Linked DNA regions of Daphnia pulex. The protein of the gene in region 1 binds, or shares a complex with, the protein of each later gene. Links are inferred from orthologs where the notes say so. Each region holds a gene or a part of one and is shown on either strand. Other genes may lie near its edges. The genes, in order: eukaryotic translation initiation factor 3 subunit A-like, eukaryotic translation initiation factor 3 subunit D-like, eukaryotic translation initiation factor 3 subunit J-like and eukaryotic translation initiation factor 3 subunit I-like.

The links.
Region 2: eukaryotic translation initiation factor 3 subunit A-like (region 1) and eukaryotic translation initiation factor 3 subunit D-like share a complex: the UniProt entries of both Drosophila melanogaster proteins name them as parts of the eukaryotic translation initiation factor 3 (eIF-3) complex. The link is inferred for Daphnia pulex from reciprocal best matches to the Drosophila melanogaster genes eIF3a and eIF3d1.
Region 3: eukaryotic translation initiation factor 3 subunit A-like (region 1) and eukaryotic translation initiation factor 3 subunit J-like share a complex: the UniProt entries of both Drosophila melanogaster proteins name them as parts of the eukaryotic translation initiation factor 3 (eIF-3) complex. The link is inferred for Daphnia pulex from reciprocal best matches to the Drosophila melanogaster genes eIF3a and eIF3j.
Region 4: eukaryotic translation initiation factor 3 subunit A-like (region 1) and eukaryotic translation initiation factor 3 subunit I-like share a complex: the UniProt entries of both Drosophila melanogaster proteins name them as parts of the eukaryotic translation initiation factor 3 (eIF-3) complex. The link is inferred for Daphnia pulex from reciprocal best matches to the Drosophila melanogaster genes eIF3a and eIF3i.

Annotation. Positions count from the first base shown.
Region 1 is NC_060026.1:6,108,716-6,113,089, forward strand, and holds the start of eukaryotic translation initiation factor 3 subunit A-like, read left to right. Parts: upstream 1-1,557; 5' UTR 1,558-1,999; coding exon 2,000-2,048; intron 2,049-2,168; coding exon 2,169-2,368; intron 2,369-2,433; coding exon 2,434-2,582; intron 2,583-2,643; coding exon 2,644-2,878; intron 2,879-2,946; coding exon 2,947-3,855; intron 3,856-3,948; coding exon 3,949-4,095; intron 4,096-4,152; coding exon 4,153-4,374. Other genes in the region: zinc finger protein jing-like, read right to left, coding at 326-768. UniProt on the Drosophila melanogaster protein: RNA-binding component of the eukaryotic translation initiation factor 3 (eIF-3) complex, which is involved in protein synthesis of a specialized repertoire of mRNAs and, together with other initiation factors, stimulates binding of mRNA and methionyl-tRNAi to the 40S ribosome.
Region 2 is NC_060023.1:3,616,111-3,620,070, reverse strand, and holds eukaryotic translation initiation factor 3 subunit D-like, read left to right. Parts: upstream 1-1,160; 5' UTR 1,161-1,306; coding exon 1,307-1,414; intron 1,415-1,474; coding exon 1,475-1,727; intron 1,728-1,784; coding exon 1,785-1,852; intron 1,853-1,911; coding exon 1,912-2,039; intron 2,040-2,110; coding exon 2,111-2,243; intron 2,244-2,307; coding exon 2,308-2,455; intron 2,456-2,516; coding exon 2,517-2,641; intron 2,642-2,705; coding exon 2,706-2,918; intron 2,919-2,977; coding exon 2,978-3,120; intron 3,121-3,179; coding exon 3,180-3,448; intron 3,449-3,770; exon of another isoform or gene 3,771-3,812; coding exon 3,813-3,823; 3' UTR 3,824-3,934; downstream 3,935-3,960. Other genes in the region: cytochrome b-c1 complex subunit 2, mitochondrial-like, read left to right, coding at 6-445; L-allo-threonine aldolase-like, read right to left, coding at 3,936-3,960. UniProt on the Drosophila melanogaster protein: mRNA cap-binding component of the eukaryotic translation initiation factor 3 (eIF-3) complex, which is involved in protein synthesis of a specialized repertoire of mRNAs and, together with other initiation factors, stimulates binding of mRNA and methionyl-tRNAi to the 40S ribosome.
Region 3 is NC_060019.1:7,843,327-7,846,563, reverse strand, and holds eukaryotic translation initiation factor 3 subunit J-like, read left to right. Parts: upstream 1-1,211; 5' UTR 1,212-1,276; coding exon 1,277-1,298; intron 1,299-1,431; coding exon 1,432-1,526; intron 1,527-1,770; coding exon 1,771-1,830; intron 1,831-1,893; coding exon 1,894-2,086; intron 2,087-2,174; coding exon 2,175-2,345; intron 2,346-2,408; coding exon 2,409-2,599; 3' UTR 2,600-2,673; downstream 2,674-3,237. Other genes in the region: secretory carrier-associated membrane protein 2-like, read right to left, coding at 39-167, 234-315, 376-477, 537-644, 814-870; coiled-coil domain-containing protein 39-like, read left to right, coding at 3,235-3,237. UniProt on the Drosophila melanogaster protein: Component of the eukaryotic translation initiation factor 3 (eIF-3) complex, which is involved in protein synthesis of a specialized repertoire of mRNAs and, together with other initiation factors, stimulates binding of mRNA and methionyl-tRNAi to the 40S ribosome.
Region 4 is NC_060019.1:6,193,276-6,196,657, reverse strand, and holds eukaryotic translation initiation factor 3 subunit I-like, read left to right. Parts: upstream 1-1,334; 5' UTR 1,335-1,481; coding exon 1,482-1,484; intron 1,485-1,550; coding exon 1,551-1,797; intron 1,798-1,863; coding exon 1,864-2,146; intron 2,147-2,212; coding exon 2,213-2,414; intron 2,415-2,479; coding exon 2,480-2,728; 3' UTR 2,729-2,866; downstream 2,867-3,382. Other genes in the region: regulator of telomere elongation helicase 1 homolog, read right to left, coding at 5-118, 190-516, 601-891, 958-1,059. UniProt on the Drosophila melanogaster protein: Component of the eukaryotic translation initiation factor 3 (eIF-3) complex, which is involved in protein synthesis of a specialized repertoire of mRNAs and, together with other initiation factors, stimulates binding of mRNA and methionyl-tRNAi to the 40S ribosome.

The DNA.
Region 1 (4,374 bases):
GATGCTAAGAACAAAAGTTCCCCAGACAAACACCCTAACAAGCTAAAGACAAATCAATTCTCCAAGTATGGCATTCTATTCAAGATCAAACATTGGAACTAGTGGAATGCGAATGTGACGCTAACCATAAAAAACGAATTAAAACGAAAATAGCTAATATTTTAAGAAAATGATGAAAAAAATTTACCAAATTTTCATTAACACTATATTGCACAGAATTGGGTACAATGTTGTAATTACAGAATTCATCTTCCAGTTATTGCAAAGAGAATTATTTCATTTGTGTTATTGTTACTTTCATTAATTATCTTTTAGATTTACTGACCTGTCTGAACTTTCTGAACTGTCGTATCTATCTGAGCGCCGACGTTTCTTTTCATCATTGACGAGAGCCGATGTTATGAGTGACCGACGTTGTTGACCATCAAAATGTTCGTTAACAGACATTTCTCGAGTTTCACCACCACTAGTCAGTCGGATTGCTTCATACGCCCGTGAATTGCTTCTAGCCTCATCGGCCATCTTACTCTTTTTCTTCTTGTCAGAATCCGCTGTTTTCTTTGTTGTAGAGGCCGCTTGGTTGTCTAACGGCACGTTGCCCGTTGCCACACCATCCATTATTCGACTGGGTGACGATGGATGCAAGCTGCCACAAGCAGGGGTTTTCACGTTAGTAGTAGAAGAACTATCGTTTACATCGTTGTCTTTAACTTTGGATTGATACGAAAGAGTCACAATCTTTGCTGATTCCAACGCTGAATCTGCCATCTTGAATGACGCTAGGAAAAATCCTCTACCACGACTACACAAACCAGTCCCTATTTGACACTTCAGACTACACACACACACACACACACGCGATTTAAGGGTACCTCGACTATCCACAATGCCCACCCCACACAGAGAAAAAACTCCCAGCGTAGAGCACTCTAGCGGTCGAAAAGCGAATATTTTTAATATCTCGTTTCGTTCCTAACTTTAAATTGATTTAGTGTAAAGAGGAATAAGAAAAAAAACTTTGTGTGTCCATAAATTTTGCATTTTTTTATTAAGTAACAAAAATAACAAAATACTATATTGCTGTGTTTGAGTTTCCTGCAACTTCAAGCGACTTCAAGGCATCTGAGAAACAGGACTCCTGGTGTTATGTTGATAATTCCTCATAGAGGGCCTTGCTATCTTCCGGCGCTACTGTCGGAAAAGTTTTCAAGTATTTCCAATTGTTGATGAATTGCCTAAATATTGAAAGATTGCAATCATTATGTAAATAGAAAAGAATCATACAGAATTACAGATCTTATAAAAACAAACTGACCGTTGAATGCGTCCAGACCTGTTCTGTATCTGTAATCTGTATCCATTGTTTTTCAATTGGTCTACTATATTTTGATGGCCTTAAAGTTCTCAGTACACACCAGGGTTGCACGCATCTATTTTTTTACACTCGACCAAGTATTTTACATGTCTGGAATAATGGGACATTTTGCCAGAACCTGCCAGAACAAACCTGGTAAATTTGTTAACAAGAAAAACAAACAACCTAAGAAAAAACGCACAAGTTTTTTTCCTGTTTGGGGATGAAAATTAATGAAGATTAGAAAGAGAGCCCGACCATCTTTAATGTGAAAACATCCAAATATAAAACAAAAGGGTATTCTAAGGTGCAACATCATGGGTAGTGGTGGGCATCGACATTCGCAATTCGTAACAAGAAGCAAATATGTTACTAATTGCTGCTAATTGTGGAAAAAGTTGTTGAGAATTGTAAAATGGCAACGCAGAATAACCTAGGGACGATTTCTATCAAACACATTGCAGGGCCATGCGCTTTGTGGCCCGTAGCTGAAGTCAGCTTGAATAGTTAACCAGTTAACCAAACCCAACCACAGTTGTCTAAAAACTTGGACGGCCATTTTCTTGCCCCAGCCACGTTGCTTGAGCAATTGCCAGCGAAGAGAAGCGTTCTGATTGCTGATCGACGTGTTATGAGAATATAAAAATGTCGCGTTTCTATCAACGACCTGAAAATGCACTCAAAAGAGCAAATGGTCTGTATTTTGTTATTCACGAGTACTTTACTAATTACTACTCAAGTTGATTTCTTAAATGTTGTGTTCACCGGTTTATATCGCTCGCTTATTGACAAAATGCTGTTACTTCTGTTACAGAGTTCATTGAAGTGGGGAAACCTATTCGAGCCTTGGATGCCCTAGCTGAAGTTATTAAGAGCAAGAAATATCGGTCAACAACTTATTCAGAAAAAGTGCTAGAACCCATAATGATCAAATACTTGGAACTTTGTGTGGATTTGAAAAAGGCGTACATGGCTAAGGAAGGCTTGTTCCAATACCGTAACATGTGTCAATCTGTAAGGATTAACTTGTTTCATGTTTTCCTTCTAACAAACTCATGATGATTGTTGTTTATTTACAGGTAAATGTTGCATCATTAGAAAATGTTGTACGATTCTACCTTAATTTAGCTGAGGAAAAAACAGAAGCAGCACGTCAAGAATCCCATCAAGCTGTTGTGGATATTGATGATCTGGACAATGTTGCTACTCCTGAAAGTATACTTCTGAGGTAGTCAATTCATTGCATTTTTTTCTGGTTGATTATGTTATCATGATTTCTTTGTGCTCAGTGCTGTCAGTGGAGAAGATGCCCAAGACAGGTCTGACCGTGTGATTTTGACTCCATGGGTCAAATTTCTTTGGGAGTCATACAGACAGTGTTTAGAGTTGCTTCGAACTAATTCAAGGGTTGAGAAACTGTACCATGATACTGCTCAACATGCCTTCAAGTTTTGTCTGAAGTATGCTCGGAAAACCGAGTTTCGTAAGCTCTGCGAGAATCTAAGGTCTCATCTTGCTTTGATGGTAAGAAAATTATTTTTTAAATTATTATTTGTTTAGAAATGTGTTAAAAGACAATATTTATATCATAGGTGAAAGGAACCCCATCTGTAACTGCTGTTAATTTGAGTAATCCTGAGACTCAACAAATGAATTTGGAAACCAGACTCTTGCAACTTGATTTCGCCATTCAAATGGAGTTGTGGCAAGAAGCATATAAAGCCATTGAAGACATTCACGGATTAATGATATTGGCTAAGAAAATGCCCCGTCCTCAACAAATGGCTCAATACTATCAGAAAATTGCCCTCGTTTTCGGAAAGTCTGGAAATCATTTGTTCCACGCTGCAGCTCTGTTTCGGCTTTTCCAACTGTCACGGGACTTGAAAAAAAATATTACGACTGAAGAACTTCAAAAACTTGGATCGCGCGTACTTGTTGCAACTTTAGCAGTACCATTACCCTCTGCACACCCTGAATTTGATCGTTTCATTGAAACCGAGAAAAGTGCTATGGAAAAAACGCAAAAACTAGCTACTCTTCTTCATTTGAATCAGCCTCCTACACGTAATGGATTGATTAAAGATTTGGTTCGCCTTGGTGTGGTAGCTACTGCAATGCCTCAGTTGCAGCAGTTGTATCATTTCTTGGAGGTAGAGTTCGACCCATTACATTTATGTAACAAAGTCAAGAACATTCTAGCGTTTATGGCCGAAGTCGAAGAGACATCTTATTTGAACCAATATATTCATGCCTTGGAAGAAATCACGCTTACCAGATTGGTAAAGCAAATAGCCCAGCTCTACTCGACTATCCGATTCGAACGTTTGGTGCAATTGGCTCCCTTTGCATCTCCATTTGACTTGGAACGCATTGTTGTTAATGCAGTCCGTCATACCGATATGCAAATAAGGATTGATCACCGTAACAATTGTCTTCACTTCGGCACTGAATTATTTGAAGCTCAACGCGAAGATTTACCAGAAGGACCGACTCTACAGGTAGAAATGTTAAAAAGTCATGACCAATGAAATGTTAGCTTTATCTTTTTTTTGTGTTTTTTTTAATTCTTTCTGATTTTATAACTTTTCTAGGCTATGCCTTCTGAACAGATACGTACGCATTTGATTACAATGTACTGCGTTCTCAACAAAGCGACAATTGCTGTTGTTGGTAATGCTCCTACTAAAGAAGAAAGACAGTTGAAAGTCCAGATCGCTGCACTTTATCATCAAAATAAAGTAATTATAACTCCATTCGTTACGTTGTTAGCAATTTGTTTAATGTGATTATTTTAGGCTAGAGACCACCACCAACTTCTTAGCCGTCAAAAGATTATTGAAGATCGCAAGGAATACCTTGAAAAATTGAATACTGAACGTGAAGAAGAAGAAGGTCGTCGTCAGGAGGAGCTGATAAGGCAGCAGTTGCTAGCAGAACAACGCCGTCTTGAAGCTGAGCGACAAGAACGAGAGAGGCTTCGTCAAGAAGCAGAACTTCGCCAAGTTCAAGCAAGGCAT
Region 2 (3,960 bases), on another chromosome or scaffold:
TCTAGGAATCCCAGTTAAATATGGTTCTGGAGCAGGATCAAAACTAAACCAAGCAGTGTTGGGTGCTGGTGCAGTTTCTTCCTTGAATTTGAACTACTCCGATGCTGGTCTATTTGGGTTCGTGGCCGCTGCCCCAGCCTCAGATGCCGGCAAAGTTGTTTCCGCCGCTACAAAAGTTTTGCGATCAGCTTCAGTCAACGAAAGCCAATTGAGCCGTGCAAAAGCCCAACTTAAAGCCGACTTGTTGATGGCCAAAGAGAACACTGGTGTGTTAGTTGAAGAGTTGGCTCTGCAAGCGCTTCTCAACCGGGCTGATCTTCTTTCTACTGTCGATAATGTTTCAATTGCTGACGTCAACGCTGTAGCTTCCCGGTTGGCTTCTGCCAAGCTAACTGTCGCTGCCATTGGAAACCTGAGCAACGTCCCGTTTGTCGATGAATTATAAAATTTTGAATAGGTCTCTGAATTATAATGTAGTCTATATCTATATTTGCACAGTGGCCCATTAGAAAATATCCAGATCGAACGGTTAATCATTCTTAAGAGCTGAAAGAATACACGTGCCCTGTACAGAATATCCACAGTTTCTCTAATCACTCTAATACTGAAAAATCTTACCTCACAATTCCTCTTTATGTTCCTCTTTCGCAAAATTAAGATTGATACGTCATTCATTTAAAAAACGAAGATACATGGAGGAGAAAGTAATGATTCTCTACTCTCGAAAGAAAATTTGTGCTATCTTCGAAAAGACAACAATAATATGTAATTAAAAAACATTTCTCTCTAGTGGGCTTACTTATATTTTAATGAAGTGTGGGGTTTCCGTGATCTTACGTTCAATCTGGTGTAACTTTCTAAAGTAATGTAACATATTTCTTCATCTGAGTCTGAGCTTGACTCTGGAGGGATTTTATAAAAAACACCATATTCCAGATCAGAATACATTTAGTCATTTAGTATTCTGGCCATTTTTTTATTATATTTTTTGTATTTTTTAGCTGATTTAAGATTTTCATACTTCAGTATCTTATTATAATTGCGTCTAAATTAAAAATTTGTGATTGAAATTAAAGATATGCTAATTCGGAATTATTAGGAAAACAGTGGAAAAAAGTAAAGCGGCAGAAAGGTATAAACATCATTTTCAACAATGGCAACAGTGGTATACGTAGCATCCGGTACTAAAATGGCGATTACCATGTTCTAACTTGTAGCAAGCTGTCAGCCAGCCGGTCTAGTGAGAAAGTGCCTACGACTAAATTCTGAAAAGTTATTTTCATAAGGTCACGTTAAATTGTATAACATGGCGGCGCATTTTGTTCCACCAGCGACTCAAGACAATAATGACGGATGGGGACCTTTAGGTATTCCCGACCGCTACAAAGATATGCCATATCAACCATTCTCGAAGGTAACGTTTCATTGCCGAATTTTGTATTAACTTCTTCTGATGTTTTGTTTAATTTATTAGATGTCGGAATGGGCTGGTGGAAGCAGCATCAATTATTCCTTTACAGACCGCAAGTATGGTGGTGGAAAATACTCTGGAGGGGCTGGTGGAAGCCAGTATGCTTATCTGCATGATGAGGAAGAGAACAGCTTTCAGCTTGTGGATACTGCAAGGACTCCAAGACCAATGTATGCTAGAGGAAGATTCCTTCGCAACCAACGGCTTGCAAGAGGCAGACAAAACTTTAGGAATTCTCAGCCTGTGCCACTTAAAGGTAAAGTGTTCAAATAGCAATTAATAGCAACAGATTGTTTATACATTTTCTTTGAAGGTGGCAAGATGAAGGATAACCGAATGAGACAGACTAGGAACAAGTGGAATAATAGAGGACCTCGTCAAGTAAAGCTTCTCACCTTACCGATTATTCAGTCTCATACTCATTTTTTAAAAACTTGTAGGGCCAAATTCAGGTTAAAAACCGTGAATCATCAGTTATTGTTCAGCCTTCATGGAAAATCATTGAAGAGATGGATTTCCCCAGGCTCAACAAACTTTCTCTGCGTCTTAGCAAGGAAGCTTCTGATTTGTAATCAACTATTTAAACTAAAACCTTTCACATGCTGATTTTAAAATAATGATATTATTTTATTTTTCCAGACTTACTTGTGGTGAACTCGAGTTTTATGATAAGCAGTACGACCGCGTAACTGTGAAAAATGAACGAAGACTGCAAAGAATTGATCGTATTTTTCACAAGGTCACCACAACTGATGACCCCATTATCCGCAAAGTAAGAAACAGTAGTCACATTCAAGTCTTACGCGTGGTAGTATGCTAATTCTCAAATTCATTAGTTGGCAAAAACTGAGGGTAATGTCTACGCAACTGATTCCATCTTGGCTACTTTGATGTGCAGTATTCGCTCCAACTATAGTTGGGACATAATCGTCCAGAAAGTTGGTGGCAAACTGTTTTTTGATAAACGTGATGATTCGGAATTTGGTACGTACCTTTTGGCCACTGAGGGAGTTTGCAATGATCTATAATCTTCCCTTTTCCCTAGATCTGCTAACTGTATCCGAAACATCCAATGAACCTCCTCAAGAAGAGGGCATCAATAGCCCACGTAATTTGGCACTAGAAGCGACCTTTATTAATCATAATTTATCCCAACAAGTCCTGAAGATGGTATTTATAATAGGTTTTATAAAATGGCATAAATCCCTAATTTTGTCGTTTCATAATCTTGTAGGGAGAAGAAAAATTCAAATTGGATGAGCCTAATCCCTTCATTTCGGAAGATGAAGTAGGTGAAGTTGCCTCGGTGGCTTACCGTTACCGTAAATGGGATTTAGATGGGGGTGTTGTTCTGGTGGCACGTTGCGAACATGACGCTGTCACCGTTGGATCGGCTGGTGATAACCAATTTATCAACATCAAAGCTCTTAATGAATGGGACTCAAGGGTATGCATATTCACTGTTCGTAATGAAACTGTGTCTTTAAAATGATTTTGTACTTCAAGTTGTCTGGTGGAGTCGAATGGCGCCAGAAACTGGACACTCAGCGAGGTGCTGTTCTGGCCAACGAGCTGAAGAATAATGCATGCAAGCTAGCAAAATGGACTGTGCAAGCTCTGCTCGCCAACTCTGATTGGATTAAATTCGGGTATGTGAAGACTCCTGTTGTCCCTCGAATATTATTGTAACTAATATTGTTTACTTCAGATATGTTTCCCGTATGCACTTACGAGATACATCGCGTCATGTAATCCTTGGAACACAGCAGTTCCGCCCGTCAGATTTCGCATCGCAAATCAACCTTAACATGGACAATGCTTGGGGCATTCTCCGTTGTATTATTGATTTGTGTATGAAGGAAGAGGATGGCAAATATTTGTTGGTGAAGGATCCTAACAAGCCCGTCATCCGCCTTTACAAGGTGCCCGATAACACGTTTGAGAGCGACGATGAAGCATTTTTCGAAGAAGGCGAAGGTTTGTAACCAATCAATATCGTAACGTGCGTGTGTAACTGCTGGCTTGCTTTTTTTGCTTGGGTGTTGGCCTCCCTTTTTTTTTTACTAGCAAAGATTAAATAAACACGTCCAAGCAGTTAATCAAATTTCCCTGCATTTGTACGCCGTGTTACGTTTTGCTTGAATTCGTAGCTCGAGCTTTGTATATATGTATAATATCTAACCACTAGTGGAAGTGCTTGGCTTCTTGGGGGAAAAAAACCTAATTAGATACGCGACATGACTTAAGGTAGCTTTAAAAAAGGCGCTATTAAACGCATGATTTCATAACGTCAACCACGAAATGGTAAATAATAATGTATTTATTTTTTACACATGAATAGAAGACGAGTAACGGCTGATACAAACAAAAGAACAGCTCTTCCACCAATTCCCCAATCTACAACAGTACTACGTTTGTAATGATCGTTACATGGAATAAAGCACTTATGAAGCTTCCAGTTTACTTATACAGCTTTACTTTGTTTGATT
Region 3 (3,237 bases), on another chromosome or scaffold:
TAAACTTAAACAAGAAATCTATGATATGTTTAACTTACGCATCCAAATATAGTATAACATGCGGACAATTTTTTGAAATTCAAGTGGGATTTCCACATTGATGTCTTGATAGAAGCATGGTTGGACACAAAACTTGTCAGGCAGTGGTGGCCAATTATTGCGCTGAGCTGTAATGAAGAAGTAAATAACAGAAATTAAAAAGTAAAGTTTCATTTAAATTTGTTCTCTCCTACAGTTGAATGGTACATTATTCTTTAATTCTTCTTCTCGCCTCTGCAATTCTTGAGCTTTCTTCTCTAGTTCTTCTTGACGTCTCTATAAAACCATGCAATATAATGAATAAAGATTTCCTTCTTTCTTTTTAAGTTTTAATACTTGAAAATCCGCATTTGACATAGCTGCTTGTTGTTGTGGTCCTGGAGATATCACTGGGGCAGCTTGAATTGTTGGGGGTGGATTGGCTCCACCAACACGGTCCTTAAATTTTGTAACAAATCAAACACACTTCCCACTTTCATGATAAAATTATGTTTTACCATTGAAACTCTGGTAGTTTGATTACTACCATCAAAAGGGTTGTATTCTTCAAGACCTTGCTGAGCTCTCGCAGCATTGTTTCCTGCAGCTTGCTGGACAGATGGATCCTATTGTGAAAGTAAACAACCACTTTACCACTAAACTAATAAACAAGGTGATTTTTCAAAAGGTTTTCTTTCATATTGTATGCGGCGAGTACTCCATGAATCACCAGTTTTCAACCAAGGTATTAGTATGGTAATAGTAAGTATAATATACATATTATAAATAATCTACCGCAAACGGGTTGAAAACAGCCGGTTCTGCAAAAGGATTCTGATCAAATCCAGACATTATCAAATATTTCTTTTTTTAACTTCGGTCACTTTGTTACTCCAATTTGCGGTAACTTTTGTTTCGACGGTCACCGTGAAACGTCAACTCAACTAATACAGACAGAAACTCCTATCAATTGCTAAATAACAGGTAATGTCAGAGAAAAGCAGTTCGGAAACAGGCAAACACTAGCGCCTCTGGAAGACAGAAACACTAGACTAAGCAACGCTGGGATTAACGAGATATCTCAGGTAAAAAAAATTAAATAATTCATAATAAAAGGTTTGCAATAAAGTTTCAAAATTTAATTATTGTTAGGTTTCTATATTTAATATTTTGTAATGCACATATTAACATTATTAGAAAAGTGAAAGCATTTGGCAACTGCCATGGACACTAGTGTGTTCACGATTTTTCGTTGAAGATGGAGGCCGAGGCGGATTGGGGTGATTTTATTTAATTATTTCTATATTAAGTTATTCAATTCCACCTGTTTTTTGTATGAAATTCTCAATAGTGCATATCAAAGTTCCATTTAATCGTATACTCTAATCAAATACGATTTTGTGGTGATTATAGATGCCGAAGATTTTGAACCCTCTGTCCCTGTTCCAGTTACGACTGCCATAATTTCAGATAAATGGGAAGGTGAGGATGAAGATGAACCTGTCAAGGTGAGTTGTAATTCAATTGTGATGATATTAGTAGTAAGTATATCTACAAATTTGGTAGAACCTTGTAGCGCTTGTAGTGAAAAAAAGTTCTCTCAGTACCTTTCTATTTCTGCTCCAATTCTTACAACTTTCACTTGACTACCATGTGTCTTCTTTTGCCAAAAAATTCTTATTGCTCAATGAGTTTTACATAAAGTTGTGATTGATTTCAAAATTATCATTTTTTCTTGTTTATAAATGATAGGATAGCTGGGAAGATGAAGAAACAGAAAATAAGCCTGCTGAAGTCAAAGCAGCAGCCACAGTAAGTACATGTGATCTCTCGTAAAAGTATCCAAAAAATTTAAAATGTGTTTGTTACTTTCAGGCTACCAAAAAAAAGTCAAGTAAAAGATTAGAAGAAAAAATAGCCGAAAAAGAAAAGAAAAGCAGAGAAGAAGCTGAAGCCAGAAAAATATTGCAGGAAGCAAACATGACACCTGAAGAGAGAATAGCAGAAAAGCTTCGGAGACAAAAACTAGTTGAAGAATCAGATTTTGAAATGGCCAAGGAAACCTTTGGTAAGTTGTCTTAGGAAACTGTATTGCTGACCTGCACTAAGCATGATTTGTTTTATATTTTGTTCTCAATGTTATTTTTATTTTCCAGGAATTACTGGTAGTTTGCCTACAGAGGGAAGCATAGATGAAGCAAACCCTTCATCTAAAGAGGAATTCTCAGAATTCAAGAACAACTTGGTGAAAAAACTTCAGTCATTGTCAACTAAAGCGTGCTATAATGATTTTATAGAGGACTTCATTAAAGATGTTTGCATTGGATGTAAGTCACATTTTCTAATGTTGGTTGCTAAAAACTTTTCTACATCCCAGTTTTTCAACATAGTGGAAGTCGAAGTCCTTAGAAAAGTTAGTCTAACTACCAAATCCTTGCACGAAGAAAAACTCAAGATGGTGAAGGCGGCGACAAAAGGTGGAAAGAAAGGAAAAACAAAAGTTGCTTTAAAAATGGACAAAGGAATGGTCGACAACTTCGGTGATGATTTCGGAGGAGGAGACTATGACGACTTCATGTAGGGTCCAATTGTTTTTCTTTTGTTTTTGGCGGGAAAAGGTTTATTGGTAAAATAAATGTATGATTTTGCCATTTTGCTCTTGTCAGTTTTTTCAGTGTTTTAAGATATATTGAGATTGAATTTCTGTTAAAAGTTAAAACCTCCCTCTTAATTATTCTAATTCAATATATAGAGTTAAGTTGCATATTTTCTTAGACGTTCCAGTTTTCTACTTTTAGCGTCAAAAAAGGAGATGGTGACAGTTGTAAAGTTAGATGTAGTTAGATGTATTTGTCCCATTGAATGCTACACACTGTCAAAAGTAAGCAAATAACTTTCAATATTTATTTTTTTAAATTTGAGTTTTGAGTACCCCGCAAATTTGTATACTGGTGAATCCTTATTTGATACCCAGTGGGCGTAAGAGAGGGGATTAGGGGGGTTTTGTTTTTAAAATGTAATGGAAATCGTTGCCGTGGCAGCCGGCTGCATGCCTAATCAATAAATGAAGCACGTGCGTTTCCTGCTGAGTAGCAGACTAGTAGTGGCATAAAAGTGGTTGTTTGGTCGATACTTCTAACTCGTTATATGGCGTTTCACTGTGAGAAAGTTCGTTAATGAATTTCTGGAGTGATAGAGCACAAGTTGAGCAAGAAAATG
Region 4 (3,382 bases), on another chromosome or scaffold:
TTACCTGGGTGACTTCATCAACACAAAGGGCTATATCTAAACTTCTAAGTTCAATAGATGAAGATTCTTCACACATTTTCTCAACATTGTGGGCCTCATCAAATATAACAATATTTCCCTAAACAAGCACAAAAAAAGAAGTTAATATTTCATGCACCTTTAAAGACTACTAAATGTACTGGGAATTACCTGGAGTTCAATGTTGTGAATTTTTCTCACTTTAGGATCAAGAAGGTAGTTGTATGGCATAAAGATGATGTCAGCTACCTTACGAATTTCTTTTGTCATAAAATAAGGGCAAGCAGAATGTTTTTTCCCCAAAGTCACCAAGTCTTCAATATCCAATACATCCATTTTGAAGTCTGGTTCCTCTTTCTTAGCATCTAGATTTGTGTGGAAGTAGCAAGTACGAGTAGTAGTTCTAGCATGGCACATGTGAAGCTTTACAGCATTGTTTGTTTCCTTTGACACTTCTGGATGAATGCACAGTTGGTCACGAGATCCAAGGATGCATACCTTAAATGAAGAAAAATAAAATAAGGGTTATCAAAACCCATTTCATGTAGGCAAATAGCTTTAATGGAAGAAGGAAATGCTCACCTTCATATATCTGTAAGAGGACCGTTTTAATTCAGAAATGACCTGGCTGAGCTGAGAATGAGTTCTGGATGCATAAATGATTTTGGGTACTCCAGCTCCAGGAGTAGCAGCATCTCCCCATCCAAGCCCAGTTGCATTACTTAATTGATTTTTAATATCCACTCCCATATCTCCAGCTAATTGACCAGACTGTATTTGTGCTTTTCGTGTTGCTAACCAACCCAATGTCGAACAAAGTAAGCACAAAGTTTTTCCTGTGCCAGTAGGAGATTCCAACAAACCATTTACACCCTATTTAATCAAGAATAACAAAATAAGAGCAAGGTGTCCACTGACCGATAACGCAACACTAGTTACTTTTTGAAGACATTCTATCACACGCTCCATGAATTTCTCTTGTACATCATAAGGCTGGAATGGAAATTCAATGGGAACATTATTTAAAACCAAATTCACCATTCTAGATAAATAATTTTGGTAATTGTGTTCCACGAGACACACGCAATGTGAAGGAACACGCAATGTGAGGGAACCCGCCAAAATAGTTGAATGAGAATAGCAGACGATGTTAAAACTGCTTTAACTTCCCTAGCGAGTAGCGCCCTCTGAAACAAATCGAAAAGTAAAATTATTTTTGCTAGTGTCATTTTAACGTTACGCGTGATTAAAGAATAAAAATTAATTTTTTTTTTTTTTGTATAAAGTTTAACAGTTTTGATAAGATTAAAGATGGTTCGTTTTTTGGTGGGTGGGTGGCAACACTGTAAAATCGAGCAGGGCCGGCAGACGAGTGTTGTAAAAACGTCGAAAGGCCTCAGTCGCCCCACGCCGAAAGAAGTGTACGTCATTATTACAGTTGTGACCAATTAATATAAACAAAAATGGTAATTTTCAGTGCATTTCTGTTATTTAATTTCATTATATTAATCCACTGTTATTGTTGATCACAGAAACCTCTTATGCTTCACGGTCACGAGCGTTCAATCACGCAAATTAAGTACAACCGGGATGGAGATTTGCTCTTCTCGTCAGCCAAGGACAACCACCCTTGTGTCTGGTATTCAGTCAATGGAGAACGATTGGGTACCTACGAGGGACATCAGGGTGTCGTATGGGCGATTGATGTTGATTGGGAAACTAAACGTTTCATGTCTGGTGCTGGTGATAATATGCTCATGATCTGGGATGTCCAAACTGGTATGTTCAGTGAGAAATGACCCCATTGCGTAATTACGACTTAAACTTTTCTTTGTTTTTTTTTAGGCAAGGCTTTGGGTAAAATTGAAGCCAAGACTTCAGTTCGTACATGCAACTTCAGTTACAGTGGAAACATGGCCCTTTACTCAACAGACAGTACTATGGGTAACCCTTCAGAGATCTTCATCATTGATGTCAGAACGGTTGACTCTTCCTTCAGTGAAAATGACCCCATCCTGCGAATTCCATTAACTAATGCCCCTAAAGCCACATCAATGGTTTGGGGTAATCTAGATGAGGTTGTTATTTCTGGTCACGACAATGGTGACTTGGCCCAATGGGACCTCAGGTGAGAATGACATTGTCGTAACCTTGAGTGCTTAAAACTAAATCCTGTTTATTATTTATACTACAGAACTGGCAAGAAGAACAACCTGGTTTCAGAACACGCCAAGTCTATCAACGACATGCAGCTGTCCAAAGACGGAGCTCTCCTCATCACTGCATCCAAGGATTGCACTGCAAAACTCTTTAACGCCGAAACGTTAGAGTGCCTAAAAACTTACAAAACTGAGCGACCCGTCAACAGTGCCGCCATCTCACCCATCATGGATCACGTATGATCCTTGAGCTTCTAAATGATTCAGTTGATCGATTCTAACTGTTTTCCTTCAATCTTCAGGTGGTGTTGGGAGGTGGTCAAGATGCCATGGACGTAACGACGACCTCAACGCGTGTCGGCAAGTTCGACGCCCGTTTCTTCCATCTGGTTTTCGAAGAAGAATTCGCTCGTGTCAAGGGCCATTTCGGTCCTATCAATTCTCTGGCCTTCCATCCCGACGGAAAGACGTACGCCAGTGGTGGTGAAGATGGTTACGTTCGTTTGAATCAATTCGACCAGTCTTACTTTGACTTTAAATTCGATTACTAAACCAGAAGAAAAGCGAAAAACCTACGAAGAACCCAATCCATCATCTATGAACACTTGTCTTGTGTTTATTTTTTGACCACTTTCGTGTACATGGGCGATATAAGAGAAGGTATTTGAATACATCATGTTGGAAAGGTCTCGAGTGAGAATCTTTTTTGGGGGGAAAATTTATTTCTCAAGAGAGGGCACGAGACGAAATTAAGCGTATACAAACAGGTTCGAGTCGCCTGTTTAAGAGGAGAAAACATAACTGATATTGTTTACAAACAATTCTTTTGAAATCTTTTTCTTCTGACGAAGTCCATTACAGGGTTTACGATATTCTAATCACCTACTGTTGCGCATCCCAAGAAAACTTGGCATTTTGCGAAGAGAAAGAGCTCATCAGTTTCCTTCTGGTAGAAGTTTTAATGGGAGACATTCTTGTCCCAGCTGAACGCATTGGAACTTATTACGACTCTAGCGTCTTGCCAACATGGTCGGGACTATCTCGAGCGACAAGGAATCATTGAGAAGCTCGCCGGTAATTTGGACGAGGCTCCTGCAGATCCTCTTGCCTCGCCTGCTCGTTCCCGGGCTTATGAAATTTATCGGTTCGCTGGCTCATTTTCAACCGGATGTATTAGCCAGATATCCGAACTTTACAAATACGAT